4 linked regions of the Saccharomyces cerevisiae S288C genome follow. Changing the gene in region 1 together with any one later gene gives a genetic interaction. Each region holds a gene or a part of one and is shown on either strand. Other genes may lie near its edges.

Region 1 (3,779 bases):
TGATCTGGTTGCCAAGAAGGGCGGGGAATTGACAGAGGAACAAAAGAAAAAGAAGGAGGTGCTCTCACGGATCAGTAGAGTAGTCGCTGCAACAACGATAGAGGCTGGTCTGGCACAAGGTGTGGTTGATTTATGTATAACAGTGACAACTAGTCTATGCTTAGTCTCGGCCAGCATTGGAGGCGTCGGATTTCTTATTTGGCTCACCATTATATACCAAGCTCTGACTTAGGAAAATGTTGCCGATTTTGTTTTTGCCACTCCTGTACATTGTTTAATCTCAGATCGTTGTATATATATACATATATATAGTGTTTTAACGACATTCTTATATTTGCATTTCTGCTTCTTATTACACCTAACTATTCTGTAACTGCCATGGGTAAGCATTTTTGAAGTATTAATTAACAATTAAACTTTCAAACATACCCACCCTTTCGTTGGAATAAAAATCAATTAACACCCACTGACTAGTAAATATTACTAGAATAACTGATGATTATGCCAATTTTCTGACAGTTGTTGGGTTTCCATTGTTGACGAAGGTCCTATTATTAGATATACGGAACATACTAGATCTCTCGAGCCTATCGGAACCTACTAAGCGGAATCGGCAATATACATGTTATTCATTTTTTTCGTTTTTCGTTTTACATTATTAATTTTACGTCTCAACTTGGTTCAATTTCAGAGACAGCATCTCATCACATCTATCATCTTTTTGTACCACATAAGGTAATATACACGTAATAATAGGCAATAGATGTGTGCGAATGAACTTCCAATATAATCCATTTAGTAGTGCCTTTTGTTACTAATATTCGTCAGTTTCTCAAGCTGACACTTGATTTATTCTAAACAAATTTCAATCTTGGACAATTAGTTGACATAAACTACGTTACTAATTTTTGTTGTATTAAGGGCTTAAATAATACCGGATGTCTTGGCAATTCTATCGTTAGGAGAGTAATAGTTGTCAGACTTATTGTCGGCTTGTTCGCACATCGTTACTTATCCTATATTATACATAAGATCTGGTGAAGCGAGGAGTCCCATGTCTAAACCGATTGCTCAGGTATTTACAGGTTTAACTGCTTCATTTAAGCAAGCAATTATTGAATTATATACTCAATCTTGTCTCTCCCGTTACTATTATTTCATTCGCGTTTTATACATCTTTATTATTATAAGTTTGATACGGTAACTTTACAATCGATTAATTTCTGCTGAAAGCCCAAGCTTTCATAAATTAATAGGTTTCGTGGTCTAGTCGGTTATGGCATCTGCTTAACACGCAGAACGTCCCCAGTTCGATCCTGGGCGAAATCAATTTTTTGTTTTTTTAATTCACAAGAATAACCTGGTATTGTTATAAGCAAGCCACCCTTTGCGTACGATCAAACACCCTATAAAATCTATATGCAATACTGAGATATTGTATTTTTTCTCCTTTAATTGTTTATAGTTCAGAATAACAGTTCAAAAATCTATGCCGCGCTCACAGGGTCCTGCCGGGTATTCGCCCTCCAGCTTGAAAGGGGTGGCAATGCCCAAGAGCGATGTATAGTTTAGTATCAAGGAATTGAGAGAGGTATTACACCAAGGATTTCCGTGAACGAAGTGACGACGCAAGATTAACAGATTAAATTCTGGTAGTAGGCTAAGCCGTTATTAAACTTTATTTACGGTATACCACAATACTGCTCTTTTTGTTGAGGATATGACAGACAAAGGCAAGAACGATTTAACAAGCAAAGCTAAGGACAAAGCCAGAGGCAACCCCGAGAAGCCACCATATTGGTTTGAAATCATTGTTTCTGATCCACAAAAAAGAACTGGTGACCCAGGCTCTTCATCTGGCTACGTGAGTTATCAGATATCAACAAAGACTAACAACACGTCATTTTATGATAATCGTGGCGATCCAGAATCTATTATAGTTGTACATAGAAGATACAGTGACCTATTGCTCCTGCATGATATTTTACTCAACAGGTTCCCCACCTGCATCATCCCGCCATTACCTGATAAGAAAGTTTTTCAATACATAGCAGGCGATAGGTTTAGCCAAAGATTTACACAAAAGAGATGTCATAGTTTGCAAAATTTCCTAAGAAGGGTCTCTTTGCATCCCGATCTTTCTCAATCAAAAGTCTTCAAAACTTTTTTGGTGAGTAAAGATTGGGAATCTCACCGCAAAGTCCTCCAGGATAGCTTGCAACCAAATAAAGATGAAGTTACTGATGCTTTTATGAATGCCTTCAAAACAGTTCACAAGCAAAACGAAGAATTCACTGAGATAAGGGAGAAAAGTGATAAACTAGATCGGACTGTGACAAAGATAGATAAACTTTTTCATAAGGTTGTGAAAAAAAATGATTCGATGTCTGAAGACTATACAAAGTTGGGCAGTAATTTACAGGAATTACAAGAATTGGTCACAGGCGAAAACGAGGAACTTGCTGCGAAGTTGAAGATTTTTAATGAAGGTGTAACACAGCTGTCATATGGCTTGCAAGATCTTACAAAGTATCTGGATTACGAATATATTGTTGATTTGAAGGATCTTGAACACTACATTGATAGTATGCGACAGCTGATCAAATTGAAAGACCAGAAACAGATAGACTACGAAGAACTAAGTGATTATTTAACCAGGTCAATCAAAGAAAAAAATAACTTGATTTCTGGATACGGAGGTAGTAATTTCTTTGCCAATAAATTGGAAGAACTAGCGGGAATAAATCAGGAGGCTTCACGTAGAGAAAAAATCAATAAACTAGAAGGCAAAATAACGTCATTAACAGGTGAATTAGAAAACGCTAAAAAGGTGGCGGATGGATTCGAACAGGAATGCTTGAAGGAAATAGACCATTTCGAAAGTGTAAAAACGGCTGAAATCAAGAAATCTCTGGGCTCACTAGCGGACCATCATATCGAATTCTACGAAAGGATACTTGAAGCATGGGAAAAAGTAGACGATAGTCTATAGTGGTGCTCTTAATGTTTTCCCATTACTACTGATAATACCTTGGGCACTACGATTATCTGATCACATTTAACAGAGAAATTTAAAAAAAGAAAAATATCTATATAAAAATATGTAAATGTTGCTATTATTTTATGATGTTCTGATTTTTTTCGTCAAACCTTAGATTTCTTATGTACATTAAACTTAAACATTTTGCATTGTTCTTCCAGTTCTTGGATTATATTATCTTGGTGGGAGTCAATCAAATCCCAATCGACGCTATTACTGGACAAGTCAACTTTATTCGCAAAACAAGTCCTGTAATCATCACCAAAAGTCTCAATGAATGCTTCTTCATTAAGATACTTTGACCATTCCATAGGCGGAAACGTGTTTTTATCCAACACTCTGTCACTCTTGGACCGTGGCTTTGGCGCCCTTTCATTTTGTCTTACATAAAAGTATCTCAGCAGCATTATTGCTTCTTTCCTCAAGATCCCCGGTATACTCTCGTACCCTGCCGCACTATTGTTCTTGGGCACTAATGTACACGTATCATGATTTACTGACAAGACAGTACCGTTGCCTCCAAATCTCTCGTTGCCACAACCGAACACCACCTTTCCAATGTCTAATTGCTTGAGAGCAGATGCACACATTATACACGGTTCTACAGTAACATATAGAGTAATGTCTTTGAACACGTCAACAACTCCTCGGGAGCCCAACATCGCCTTGATCTGATCGATCCCCATGAACTCAGCATGTGCTACTCCAGTTAATGACTTGTTCGTATCGTTCATGCCAT
Region 2 (3,320 bases), on another chromosome or scaffold:
TAGATCCGCAAGGACATCTAAAACTCGCATATTACTTAATTTTGTGTTGCGAGCACGCTAAGTGCGAATACCTTACTGTTACGAGCACCCTATATTTTTGGACGCATAAGGGGGAGGGAATAACCATCGATCTTTCTAGAAATCAAGCAATGCTTGAAAAAGCACTTTCGTTGGTTGTGGATGTTCATGTAAAGACGGTTACTATTCCGATCCAACAATGCACCTTGACAGGCAAGGTTCTTTAGGGGTACACACGGAGTTAGGGGTACACACGGAGTTGCTGCTGCCCCAGTAACATCCCAGTGATTACCAAATGAAGACACATAACCAGATTATTTTGTGCCACATTGCCAAGAAGGTAAGAGAATTGTGGCTTACTGTAAGCTACAGGTTCAACGGTGCATGCAAGATGGCCGCGTTATTTTTTTGGGGTCCCCCCCTGAGGCTTATGAGAGAGACCCATAGTCTTGTTTTCAAGGAGCCAAATTGCCAAATGAAAAGAAAAGAAAGTTAAAAATTCAATTAAATTAAACTAGGAGTAATGTTAGTGTATGTAGTAAGAAAATGATTGATGTGCGCAGAATATTGAAACGGAGACTGAAAACATTCTATTGACGGATTCCGAGCGAGAATCACGTAAAGAAGGTTCTAGAAAAAACATAAAAAAATGAAAAAACAAAGTGAGGTTGGAACTAGTAGAGCCGTTTAGGGACTCTTAATTAACGAATTGTCCAACATCAACAACAAAGTGTGTCCTATGGTAGGTTATATTAAAAAAAGTCCAACGATGTCCTTCTACTGGAACCCATATCCAGGTTGTCCAAATTTGATTCGTGCAATGTTTCGATAGACGCTGTCCTTGAGGAGGAGTCGTTTGAACAGAAGACAAAGAGAGCTTTAGAATCATCGATTGCTATTGTGTTGTTAATTTTGAAAGCGTCTGTTTTATCCATCTCTTCAATATCTTCGTACAACAAATCGTGAATGGAATAGTCATTATCTTGGGAAAATATGGAAGAGATCGAGCTCTTGGTGGAGGAAAGACTGGCGTCTGATTCGCTCCTCGTTGACTGCGTTGGTGATGGAGCCATCCGCAGCTTTTCTTCCTTTGCAGCGTTTGTTTGCATGTGCCTCATGGCCGAGTGGTAGTCTTTAAGCAGTGTTTCGTCCAGTAACAAGCTGCTCCTTTTTAACTTTGACTGACTAGATGTGCTTCTCTTATTCGTAGGAGACAGGAATTGAGAAGGAGCTGTGCCCTCCTCCTTTTTCTGCTTCGTCTTGGAGTGTCCATGGCCAAATTCGCTAGTCAGCGAGATTAGCGAACTTTTGGATCCTAAATGCATGGATTGTCTTTTCTTGGTGTCTGCGTTTGTGTTAGTGCTGGAATTTTTAGAGCGTCTTAGCATTTTACGTATTTTGTCTTTTTGTGCCGTCACAATATATAGTTGGTATGTTCTTTATCGTCGTATATTTCTCGTGCCGAGCTTGCGCCTTCTTTAACAATAAACCAAACGAATATTGAGGCTTCTTTATAACAGTTTGGCAAATAGTCAAGAATATAATGAGCAGCCAAGCGCGAAATTATGAATTCTATTAATATCCGCACTAGTGAATTCGAATACTTCCTTTACAGGTCATTTTCTCCTATTGCTCCAATTTACACTGCTGTGCTTTTTTTTTTAATTACGCGCATTAGGTAATTTTACCCCTACGCGAAAGTTAGTCGTAATTTCGTGTTTCTTTTTTTACGTGTTCTGTCTGTCCAGAAGCAAAAATGTTCTTAGCGAAGCCATCCTAATATTTCATGTACAAGGGCCCGCAATAACTGTAATCGGCGGTTTATTATTGTATCAGGAAAGTCGAAAGAAGTGACTTGAAGATCATGAAAACGGCCTACTTGGCGTCATTGGTGCTCATCGTATCGACAGCATATGTTATTAGGTTGATAGCGATTCTGCCTTTTTTCCACACTCAAGCAGGTACAGAAAAGGATACGAAAGATGGAGTTAACCTACTGAAAATACGAAAATCGTCAAAGAAACCGCTCAAGATTTTTGTATTCTTAGGATCGGGAGGTCATACTGGTGAAATGATCCGTCTTCTAGAAAATTACCAGGATCTTTTACTGGGTAAGTCGATTGTGTACTTGGGTTATTCTGATGAGGCTTCCAGGCAAAGATTCGCCCACTTTATAAAAAAATTTGGTCATTGCAAAGTAAAATACTATGAATTCATGAAAGCTAGGGAAGTTAAAGCGACTCTCCTACAAAGTGTAAAGACCATCATTGGAACGTTGGTACAATCTTTTGTGCACGTGGTTAGAATCAGATTTGCTATGTGTGGTTCCCCTCATCTGTTTTTATTGAATGGGCCTGGAACATGCTGTATAATATCCTTTTGGTTGAAAATTATGGAACTTCTTTTGCCCCTGTTGGGTTCCTCCCATATAGTTTATGTAGAATCGCTGGCAAGGATTAATACTCCTAGTCTGACCGGAAAAATATTATATTGGGTAGTGGATGAATTCATTGTCCAGTGGCAAGAATTGAGGGACAATTATTTACCAAGATCCAAGTGGTTCGGCATCCTTGTTTAAGTAAACCATTTATGTAGGATAGTAAAACTTCCAACTATTTTTGAAGTCTTATGGTGGCACCGCACCTTCTTTGATGCTTAAAATTTCCAGGATTGCTTCACAAAATATAAACAATCCGGCCAACGCATTAAAACTACCACTGCTAACCAGAAAGTAAATCAGTAAATCACTTACTTACAATTACTACGTATACAAAGCAAACAATCACATTTCATGTCTGCATAATTGCACAGTGTATGCATAATGCATTACGGCACCAAATTTGGTGTGTAAAGGATAATGCGACACCGGTCTTAGAGATTTTTGCACGAGGATTATTGCCGTACGGCTATTTGGTGTCGTCTCACTCTTCGCCGCGCCGGGACGGCCAAAAATACAAAAAAGGTCAGTCAGGGCCGGCAACCCGATGAGGAAAGGGCCCTTCCAGTAAACTTCACATTATCTTGACAAGGCATTTTTTTTCAAAAAAAGTGCATTTTGATGGACAAAAAGAAAAGAAAACCTCCAGGTTATATTCTTTAACTTGACAGTGTCTGAACATTTAAATTTTTCGAATGGGTTACCTCATCTCACCTGTTTTGGAAATTAATGTTGGAGTAAAAAAGTATATAAGATGCTGTTTTCGTATATATCCCTGTTTTGTGGCATCTATTTCATCTTTTCTCTGACCGTAAAAAAAAGCAGACCATAAAATAGTCTGAAATTAATACATAGAACCAAGCTG
Region 3 (5,073 bases), 330 kb from region 1:
ATATCCAAAAAAATGTTTACCTTTTTATAGTTTCCCGGCTTCTGGAATATCAATTCACACAACAGAGCGTCATTCTGTAATTTCTTGAAAATTTTATCGAATACTAACTGCCTATACTGTCTTATTGCCAGAGGGGTCAATCTGTTATAATATTCCTCCGGGACATTTATATGTTCGCGTATCTGGTAATCATATAAGTACACGTTCAACGATATTCTAAGTCGCGTAATATCTATTAGCTCGGATAAAGAAGTCAGGTCCAAGACATGAACTAAACTTGGAAAATCATGCTGACTATCTTTTGAGTCCAAGAAGTTAAAGTTCATAGCGTTTGAAATTACTTGATAGACCGACCTAACGAAGAATGACTCATGAACAATAAAAATCTTTTGTAAATAGAACTTGGTCTCTTTGGGTAACTTTGCAAACATTTTAATACCGTAAACCCAGCTTATTTTTCTCTGGGAAAACCCAGATGAAAAAATCACCAGTGAATATGGTGCCTGTGGCAATTTCATTACCAATCGATCCATGAGGGCATTAATAAGCAAGTCATAAACTTGCTTATCGCCAATTTCATCAGATGCTGGCAAATAAGTCGAATCAAAGACATAAATTGCGTGACCAGAGTTAGGATCAACTGAATAAGATCTAAAAAATATGTTATTAACGTTGATATCTATCATCCTGGCCTTCTTTCACGCTACCAATAGTATTATCCAGTAGGGCCATATCCTCGAGAATTTCACTTTCTATATACAAAATAACATCAACATGAAAAAACGCCAAAATACGTACGCCGTTAATAGTGATACATGTGCTCAATTACGGTGCATCATCAACCTTTACATACTTCTAGCTAACTTTGATTTTCATGAGGCTTATTTTTTACTTTTCTTTAACCTTGTCTCTCCCACAGCTCTAATTTTACGCTTTTTGCCCTTACTATCTCCTCCTTTTTGCTTACCTTGGTCGGATACTATCTTTTCTTCTTCATTTGTCGGCTTGATACTATCGAATAACTTAATACCAGTTTGTACTCTTCGCAGCCTCATCTGTTCTAAATCTAGAGAGCCTTCGAAGATTTCTGTGTCTTCAGGGATAGAAAATTTTGCCACTTGAGTAAATTTATCCCATGGAATGGCTGCAAATTGTATTTTGCACAACTCTACGAGCTTATCATGTTCCCGGTCTTTATCTTTCTCAAATTCCCAATACTGTGTTCTCTCAAAACAATTATCTAAAATGGTTCTCTTACTTTTCTTGATTTCTTGACCAGTAAAAGAATATACTCGCTTGTACTGGGCGACAAAATCAGTGAATGTCTTATGTAGCGGATGTGAGCTGTTCATAAAGTTTAATCTGGCTTCACCATCCTTTGAAATCATCTGTTCAACAATACTTTTATCCTTTGCATAGTAGCGTGCTGTCAATTTGATTACTTCCATGTCTCTTCGGGATATTCCAGTATCATATTGAGAGAACAGAAAATCCGGCGGCCTTGCTATCTCTCGCTCACTCTTTCTGTCATTATCTTCACCGCTGACAGTGTCTGTTGGCTCATTCATGAGTTTGGTGTAGTATTCATGGAGTGGGTCATCTTTCTTGATGAATGAGAATCTCTCATCTTCTAGCAGTTTGTTCTCAAACTCAACACCATGCTGCTTTATGTAATTTACTGTGGTTTTAATGTCCTCTTTCAGCTGGGTATCTTCTGGTTCCATTTATACAACTGCAAATTATTGCTGTTAGTTTTACGCTTTACCTTATTTCTTCCTGTATTTAAGTGTTTCAAGGCTAACTTTTGCCGAAATATTTCGTTGAAGGAAGGTTCTTATTTTATCAAAAAATGGTCAACAGACAAACAATAGAAAAACCAAAAGAAAACAAAAGCTTTTGAGGAAATCGGTAAAATGGATGATCTGCTAAAAGTTCCCGAGATTGTAACCAATATTGCCTCATATTTATCTACTGTAGATTATCTGAGTTTTCAACAAGTGAATAAACGGGTTTATGCAATCATTAACGGCAAAAATGATTCAAAGTATTGGTCATTGAAATTGACTAGAATGGGTCTCCAACAGGTGCATTCAAATGAAGAAGAAGAAATTACGTTGCTGGATGAAAATGATAATCAAAATTCCCTTCGCATCTTCGAAATATACAAATCTTTCACTGCTCAAAATTCTAAAAAAATCTTTGTGAAATTTTACCGTTGTTATAACTCATACGCTAGGAAGCTATATAATAATAATCTAGCAAATTTCTTTCCTACTTCATATTCCAACGATCCGTTGAAACAAACAAGAATTCTAAATTTTATCAAAAAGTACAATTTCTCGAATAAAAATGATATAGAAACATTTACTAGGATTGAAACTAATTTCAACATTCTTAGGGAAATCTTCATTAATTCTGTTCTCAAAGAGTCAGAATTGAATTACCAGTCTAATAATTTAGCTGCCGTCGCTCGTTTCATGAAAATTTTATTGATATCTAATGAGGAAAGCAATGCTATCGAATTTTTCAAGTCAAAGGCTGATTTGCCTCCCAGTTTAACGGTTTTGCCGTCTAATGATGAATTATTTTGGGCCGAACAACCAAGGGAAGAGGACAGCGGTGGGAGTACCGTGATATTTAATTCTAAAAATTTAGATACGTTTCTCAATCAGCTAAGGGATTTCCTCAACGAAAAGATTAAATTAGCGGACATTTTATTCAAAGATGAGTTCCCTGTAATATTACAGTTCATCGAGTCCTTTATCCAAGATATTTTATTAGATATTTTAAACAATATCTTATTAAGCTATAGTGAATTTTTAAAAGAAAATGGAAAGGATAGTAAAGCCAATTATGAATGCGTACCCGAACTTTATTTCACATTTATAAAAAAGTTTGATACTGAATTAAACGACTCAGTAAACGCAGGCGCAAATTTCCGTAAAGTTGTTCGTGACCTTTTAAACCTGTATCTCGAGCCCTTTGTTGTCAACTATATGAATCAGACAACTAGAGTATTTGAATCATTGATCAACTCACAATTAGCTAATTATGACACACAAGTTCAAGACAAGCAGCGTGAGCAAAACGCAAAAATTTATAACACTTTAAAAGATCAAACGGATGCTTCGAGTGCAAGTAACAATGAATTGCCGAATGACCTCTCAATAATTACTGAAACCTCCAAAACTGTCCCAGAAGCGGATTCAAAACCAAGTACGATCCATCAATCAGTTCATTCAACTGATATTTCTAATGATAAACTAGACTTTCTAAGTTCCTTCACCAAGATTTTCAAGTTCTCGAACAATGAAAATCAAAGGCTAAAGCAACAACTACAACTAGCCTACAACTTAAATTTAATTTCCAATAACTTGCAAAACATTAAATCGTTAATAAGTCTCGATTTATGTTACAAAATTTTACAGGAAACAAGCGAAAAGACGGATCAAATTTACAAATTTCATACGATTGAAAGTTTGCTACCATTGATCAAGCTACGCTGTCAAGAGATTTTCAAAATTTTAATTACACAATTGAATAAAAATCACGTTAAACCTGCATTTGAAAAGGCAATCCTGCTACTACAAAAATATAATCCTAACGAAATAGAACAAATAGAAATAAAATTCAATTCACTTTCGCCAGCCAATACTCAAGTCGAACCTTTAGTACAATTCACTGAACTTATCAATATAGGTGACATAATATTACAAATGATTTCCATTTTTTACAAGAACGAATTGATTCCCAAAAAAATTATCGATAAAAATAAAGATTTTCTTAATGATGTTATCCAATTAAAAAAAAATTTTGAGACTTCTATCGATGATTTTGTAGCCGAAGGTTTAAATATCGGTATAAACAAACTAATGGATGAAATCTCATTTGTATTCAAGACTCTTCAATTGCCTGACGATTATAATCCACCGCCACCCTCTAGGAATTCTCCAATAAGGGATATAAAGCCAACCAAATGTGCTATCAGGGTAGTCGAGTTACTTTCTAATCATTGCTTTCTACTGACTGGTGCCACAGACAAGGGTACTATTGACGTGTACCAACAAGAAATTGGCGAGAGATTCTTTAATGAAATCGTCAAACATCTGAAGAAGTGCTTCATATCTACGGAGGGCGCAATTTGGTTAATCTGCGATTTAAATTACTTTTACGATTTTATTGCTAACAAATTAAAACAAAAAAATGTTGTTCCCTATTTTGTTGGGCTTAAGTCTATTGGCCAGTTATACATCATTTCAGGCAAGGACTCGAAAGAGTTGGGAAAGCTTATTTCTGATCTTGGGAAATTCAATGGCATTTTTACGCAAGAGGAAATTTATGAATTTGTTCAGAGGAGAAGCGATTGGGTTCGTGTACGGAAAGACGTTGAAAAGGTAATGTACGGCCTAGGCATACGAGATTGCTGCATTATGTAAATTCCTATCAATGATTAATTATATTACTCTATATAGGTATGAAGTGCGGAAATAAAAGACTGTTCACATATTAGATTATTCAAGATTACGCGGGCTCTATTTTTCCCTGTTAGCCACACGCACACAAGGGGCATACAAATGTTCACTCCATTTATAAGAGGATTCCACACAAGATCATCGATAACATGGTTCAGTACGCTCCCTTTCTATTAGGAAAGTATGTTCATTCTTCATACGCTATTCTATTTTTTTTTTTTTCACACTTATTCTTTTACTAACGCATAGTTAACCATTTGCTGTTTCGAAGAGGCAACATCAAACAAGTCGATGTGCTCTTTCCCAAGCTGGTCTCTATTGCAGATTTTCTGATCCGTTATTGGCAATTATGGTAGGCTGTCTCAGCTACTATGTGTACGAAAGGAAAATGGGGCGTCCACAAGGTCATCATTTACACGAGCTCATAAAGAAGCGATGGGACGATCGCAAATAATAATCCGGCGTGAGGGGAGTATATATAAGTTTCTGGCGATATGTAAATACCATAATAATTAATCCTAGGATCTACCTTTATACGCATTTATCCTATAAAAACCCAATCTTTCAGATCCACAGTATTTTTATATGTGTGATTTCCTTG
Region 4 (4,474 bases), on another chromosome or scaffold:
TTTAGAAGTTTCGGGTTCAGAGGCAGCACAAAGGGGGGTCTTGCATTTTGGCTGAAGCAAGGAAATGAGGGAGATAGTACCGAGTTATTTGGTGGAAGTTCGAAGAAGTTTAATGGTTTGATGATATTGTTACGATTAGACGATAAGTTGGGAGAGAGCGTGACAGCGTATTTGAATGACGGAACAAAAGATCTTGATATTGAATCCTCACCGTACTTTGCGTCATGTCTGTTCCAATACCAGGATTCCATGGTACCATCAACATTAAGATTGACTTACAATCCACTAGATAATCACTTGTTAAAGTTGCAAATGGACAACAGAGTGTGTTTCCAGACAAGGAAAGTTAAATTTATGGGCAGCAGCCCATTTAGGATTGGAACAAGTGCTATCAACGATGCATCCAAAGAATCGTTTGAAATCTTGAAAATGAAGCTTTATGACGGAGTTATAGAGGATTCGCTAATTCCTAACGTGAATCCTATGGGACAACCCAGAGTGGTTACTAAAGTGATCAATTCTCAAACTGGTGAAGAGAGTTTCAGGGAAAAGATGCCATTTTCTGATAAGGAAGAAAGTATAACGAGTAACGAGCTTTTCGAAAAGATGAACAAGTTGGAGGGGAAAATCATGGCAAATGATATCGATCCATTACTCCGCAAGATGAACAAGATTGTGGAGAATGAACGTGAACTGATTCAACGTTTAAGACCACTGTTAGATCTGAAGAAAACAGCCATAAGTGACGATAGTTTCCAAGATTTTCTTTCGATGAACGCAAACCTGGACAGATTGATAAAAGAACAAGAAAAAATTCGACAAGATGCCAAGCTGTATGGCAAGCAGACCAAAGGTCATGATGAGATATTTTCCAAAATAAGTGTATGGTTGGCACTGCTGATTTTCATTATGATCACATTGGCGTACTACATGTTTAGAATTAACCAAGACATCAAGAAGGTCAAACTTCTGTAAGCTCTTGTGTCTTTGTTATATGGGTACAAGATATAAGAAACATAACTATTACATACGAAAATGTGCATGTTATCTATATCCTTCTTTATATAGATGCTGTTAACTTCTTTTTTTTTTTTTGGGAAAATCAACTGTTAAACGCGACAGTAAAAGCAGCAAAACATTAATTTTGCTTCCAAGACGACAGTAATATGTCTCCTACAATACCAGTTTCGCTGCAGAAGGCACATCTATTACATTTACTGAGCATAACGGGCTGTACTAATCCAAGGAGGTTTACGGACCAGGGGAACTTTCCAGATTCAGATCACAGCAATATAGGACTAGAAAATATCAGGTAGCCGCACTCAACTTGTAACTGGCAACTACTTTGCATCAAACTCCAATTAAATGCGGTAGAATCTTTTCACAAAAGGTACTCAACGTCAATTCGGAAAGCTTCCTTCCGGAATGGCTTAAGTAGGTTGCAATTTCTTTTTCTATTAGTAGCTAAAAATGGGTCACGTGATCTATATTCGAAAGGGGCGGTTGCCTCAGGAAGGCACCGGCGGTCTTTCGTCCGTGCGGAGATATCTGCGCCGTTCAGGGGTCCATGTGCCTTGGACGATATTAAGGCAGAAGGCAGTATCGGGGCGGATCACTCCGAACCGAGATTAGTTAAGCCCTTCCCATCTCAAGATGGGGAGCAAATGGCATTATACTCCTGCTAGAAAGTTAACTGTGCACATATTCTTAAATTATACAACATTCTGGAGAGCTATTGTTCAAAAAACAAACATTTCGCAGGCTAAAATGTGGAGATAGGATAAGTTTTGTAGACATATATAAACAATCAGTAATTGGATTGAAAATTTGGTGTTGTGAATTGCTCTTCATTATGCACCTTATTCAATTATCATCAAGAATAGTAATAGTTAAGTAAACACAAGATTAACATAATAAAAAAAATAATTCTTTCATAATGGCAGTTGAGGAGAACAATATGCCTGTTGTTTCACAGCAACCCCAAGCTGGTGAAGACGTGATCTCTTCACTCAGTAAAGATTCCCATTTAAGCGCACAATCTCAAAAGTATTCTAATGATGAATTGAAAGCCGGTGAGTCAGGGTCTGAAGGCTCCCAAAGTGTTCCTATAGAGATACCCAAGAAGCCCATGTCTGAATATGTTACCGTTTCCTTGCTTTGTTTGTGTGTTGCCTTCGGCGGCTTCATGTTTGGCTGGGATACCGGTACTATTTCTGGGTTTGTTGTCCAAACAGACTTTTTGAGAAGGTTTGGTATGAAACATAAGGATGGTACCCACTATTTGTCAAACGTCAGAACAGGTTTAATCGTCGCCATTTTCAATATTGGCTGTGCCTTTGGTGGTATTATACTTTCCAAAGGTGGAGATATGTATGGCCGTAAAAAGGGTCTTTCGATTGTCGTCTCGGTTTATATAGTTGGTATTATCATTCAAATTGCCTCTATCAACAAGTGGTACCAATATTTCATTGGTAGAATCATATCTGGTTTGGGTGTCGGCGGCATCGCCGTCTTATGTCCTATGTTGATCTCTGAAATTGCTCCAAAGCACTTGAGAGGCACACTAGTTTCTTGTTATCAGCTGATGATTACTGCAGGTATCTTTTTGGGCTACTGTACTAATTACGGTACAAAGAGCTATTCGAACTCAGTTCAATGGAGAGTTCCATTAGGGCTATGTTTCGCTTGGTCATTATTTATGATTGGCGCTTTGACGTTAGTTCCTGAATCCCCACGTTATTTATGTGAGGTGAATAAGGTAGAAGACGCCAAGCGTTCCATTGCTAAGTCTAACAAGGTGTCACCAGAGGATCCTGCCGTCCAGGCAGAGTTAGATCTGATCATGGCCGGTATAGAAGCTGAAAAACTGGCTGGCAATGCGTCCTGGGGGGAATTATTTTCCACCAAGACCAAAGTATTTCAACGTTTGTTGATGGGTGTGTTTGTTCAAATGTTCCAACAATTAACCGGTAACAATTATTTTTTCTACTACGGTACCGTTATTTTCAAGTCAGTTGGCCTGGATGATTCCTTTGAAACATCCATTGTCATTGGTGTAGTCAACTTTGCCTCCACTTTCTTTAGTTTGTGGACTGTCGAAAACTTGGGACATCGTAAATGTTTACTTTTGGGCGCTGCCACTATGATGGCTTGTATGGTCATCTACGCCTCTGTTGGTGTTACTAGATTATATCCTCACGGTAAAAGCCAGCCATCTTCTAAAGGTGCCGGTAACTGTATGATTGTCTTTACCTGTTTTTATATTTTCTGTTATGCCACAACCTGGGCGCCAGTTGCCTGGGTCATCACAGCAGAATCATTCCCACTGAGAGTCAAGTCGAAATGTATGGCGTTGGCCTCTGCTTCCAATTGGGTATGGGGGTTCTTGATTGCATTTTTCACCCCATTCATCACATCTGCCATTAACTTCTACTACGGTTATGTCTTCATGGGCTGTTTGGTTGCCATGTTTTTTTATGTCTTTTTCTTTGTTCCAGAAACTAAAGGCCTATCGTTAGAAGAAATTCAAGAATTATGGGAAGAAGGTGTTTTACCTTGGAAATCTGAAGGCTGGATTCCTTCATCCAGAAGAGGTAATAATTACGATTTAGAGGATTTACAACATGACGACAAACCGTGGTACAAGGCCATGCTAGAATAATGCGTTTGAAGTGAGACGCTCCATCATCTCTCTTAATTTTTCATGACTGACGTTTTTTCTTCATTTTAATTATCATAGTATTTGTTTGAAAAAAAAAAAAAAAAATTTCCCTTATCAATGATATCCTTACGATTATATAAATTCCTTACCTAAACCTATTATTTGTGTACATATATCAGAGTATTATTACATATATAACCTTTTTCTCTAAAACAGGAAAAAAAAAAGAAAACGATAACATGCTCTGCCATCCTTTGTTCACCGAGCAAAATTAAAAACGCAAAATGAATTGTCCCTATGAAATTATTAAAGGACCACATCACCAGACTTATCTCTGGGGGGTCCTCTAGAAAATAAGTCAGGTACTTGCCTGGACTTTCTTCCAGTTGAATTCCTGAGCTAACATACAATTAATGGAGTGAGAATGTTCGAACGATCCAGGAGTTGCTTTTTTCAGTCATTTGTTTATCAGTGTAACAAGCATTTCCTTTATTTCTTTTATATCAACCTGCAACCTATTAATATTCAATTCAACGTCTCGGAGCTTTTCTCGTACCGTTTTACCATCATCCATTTCCATGCTAACTAATTCTGAGATTACGATTACATATTGTCTCAGTTCTGGTTCATCAATGGCTGATAAAACTTTCATTACATTTTGGAAAAAATCTTCGTCATTTAGGTCTAAAGTCAGGATTTGGTTCCTTATAGACTCTCTACGATCTTTTTTCAAGTTTTTTTCTGAAGAAATATGTCCATTTTCATTAGTGACAGCGGTAGAGTCCTCTTCCGCTCGAACCAAACTATCACTGC

The links.
Region 2: mutations in SNX4 (region 1) and ALG14 together harm fitness more than expected from each alone (negative genetic interaction), as found in Saccharomyces cerevisiae (2 studies listed by BioGRID).
Region 3: of SNX4 (region 1) and RCY1, changing one enhances a phenotype caused by changing the other (phenotypic enhancement), as found in Saccharomyces cerevisiae (3 studies listed by BioGRID, with this or other methods).
Region 4: mutations in SNX4 (region 1) and GAL2 together harm fitness more than expected from each alone (negative genetic interaction), as found in Saccharomyces cerevisiae (2 studies listed by BioGRID).

The regions. Positions count from the first base shown.
Region 1 is NC_001142.9:377,105-380,883, forward strand, and holds SNX4 (Snx4p), read left to right. Parts: upstream 1-1,720; coding exon 1,721-2,992; downstream 2,993-3,779. Other genes in the region: IRC18 (Irc18p), read left to right, coding at 1-232; TAD2 (tRNA(adenine34) deaminase), read right to left, coding at 3,145-3,779. UniProt on the Saccharomyces cerevisiae protein: Sorting nexin, involved in the separation or division of vacuoles throughout the entire life cycle of the cells.
Region 2 is NC_001134.8:378,497-381,816, reverse strand, and holds ALG14 (N-acetylglucosaminyldiphosphodolichol N-acetylglucosaminyltransferase anchoring subunit ALG14), read left to right. Parts: upstream 1-1,882; coding exon 1,883-2,596; downstream 2,597-3,320. Other genes in the region: YBR071W (uncharacterized protein), read right to left, coding at 771-1,406. UniProt on the Saccharomyces cerevisiae protein: Involved in protein N-glycosylation. Essential for the second step of the dolichol-linked oligosaccharide pathway. Anchors the catalytic subunit ALG13 to the ER.
Region 3 is NC_001142.9:49,992-55,064, reverse strand, and holds RCY1 (Rcy1p), read left to right. Parts: upstream 1-1,913; coding exon 1,914-4,436; downstream 4,437-5,073. Other genes in the region: ECM25 (Ecm25p), read right to left, coding at 1-686; PRP21 (Prp21p), read right to left, coding at 882-1,724; NCE101 (Nce101p), read left to right, coding at 4,622-4,653, 4,797-4,926. UniProt on the Saccharomyces cerevisiae protein: Involved in recycling plasma membrane proteins internalized by endocytosis. Required for recycling of the v-SNARE SNC1.
Region 4 is NC_001144.5:288,276-292,749, forward strand, and holds GAL2 (galactose permease GAL2), read left to right. Parts: upstream 1-1,936; coding exon 1,937-3,661; downstream 3,662-4,474. Other genes in the region: EMP46 (Emp46p), read left to right, coding at 1-975; SRL2 (Srl2p), read right to left, coding at 4,119-4,474. UniProt on the Saccharomyces cerevisiae protein: GAL2 is a facilitated diffusion transporter required for both the high-affinity galactokinase-dependent and low-affinity galactokinase-independent galactose transport processes.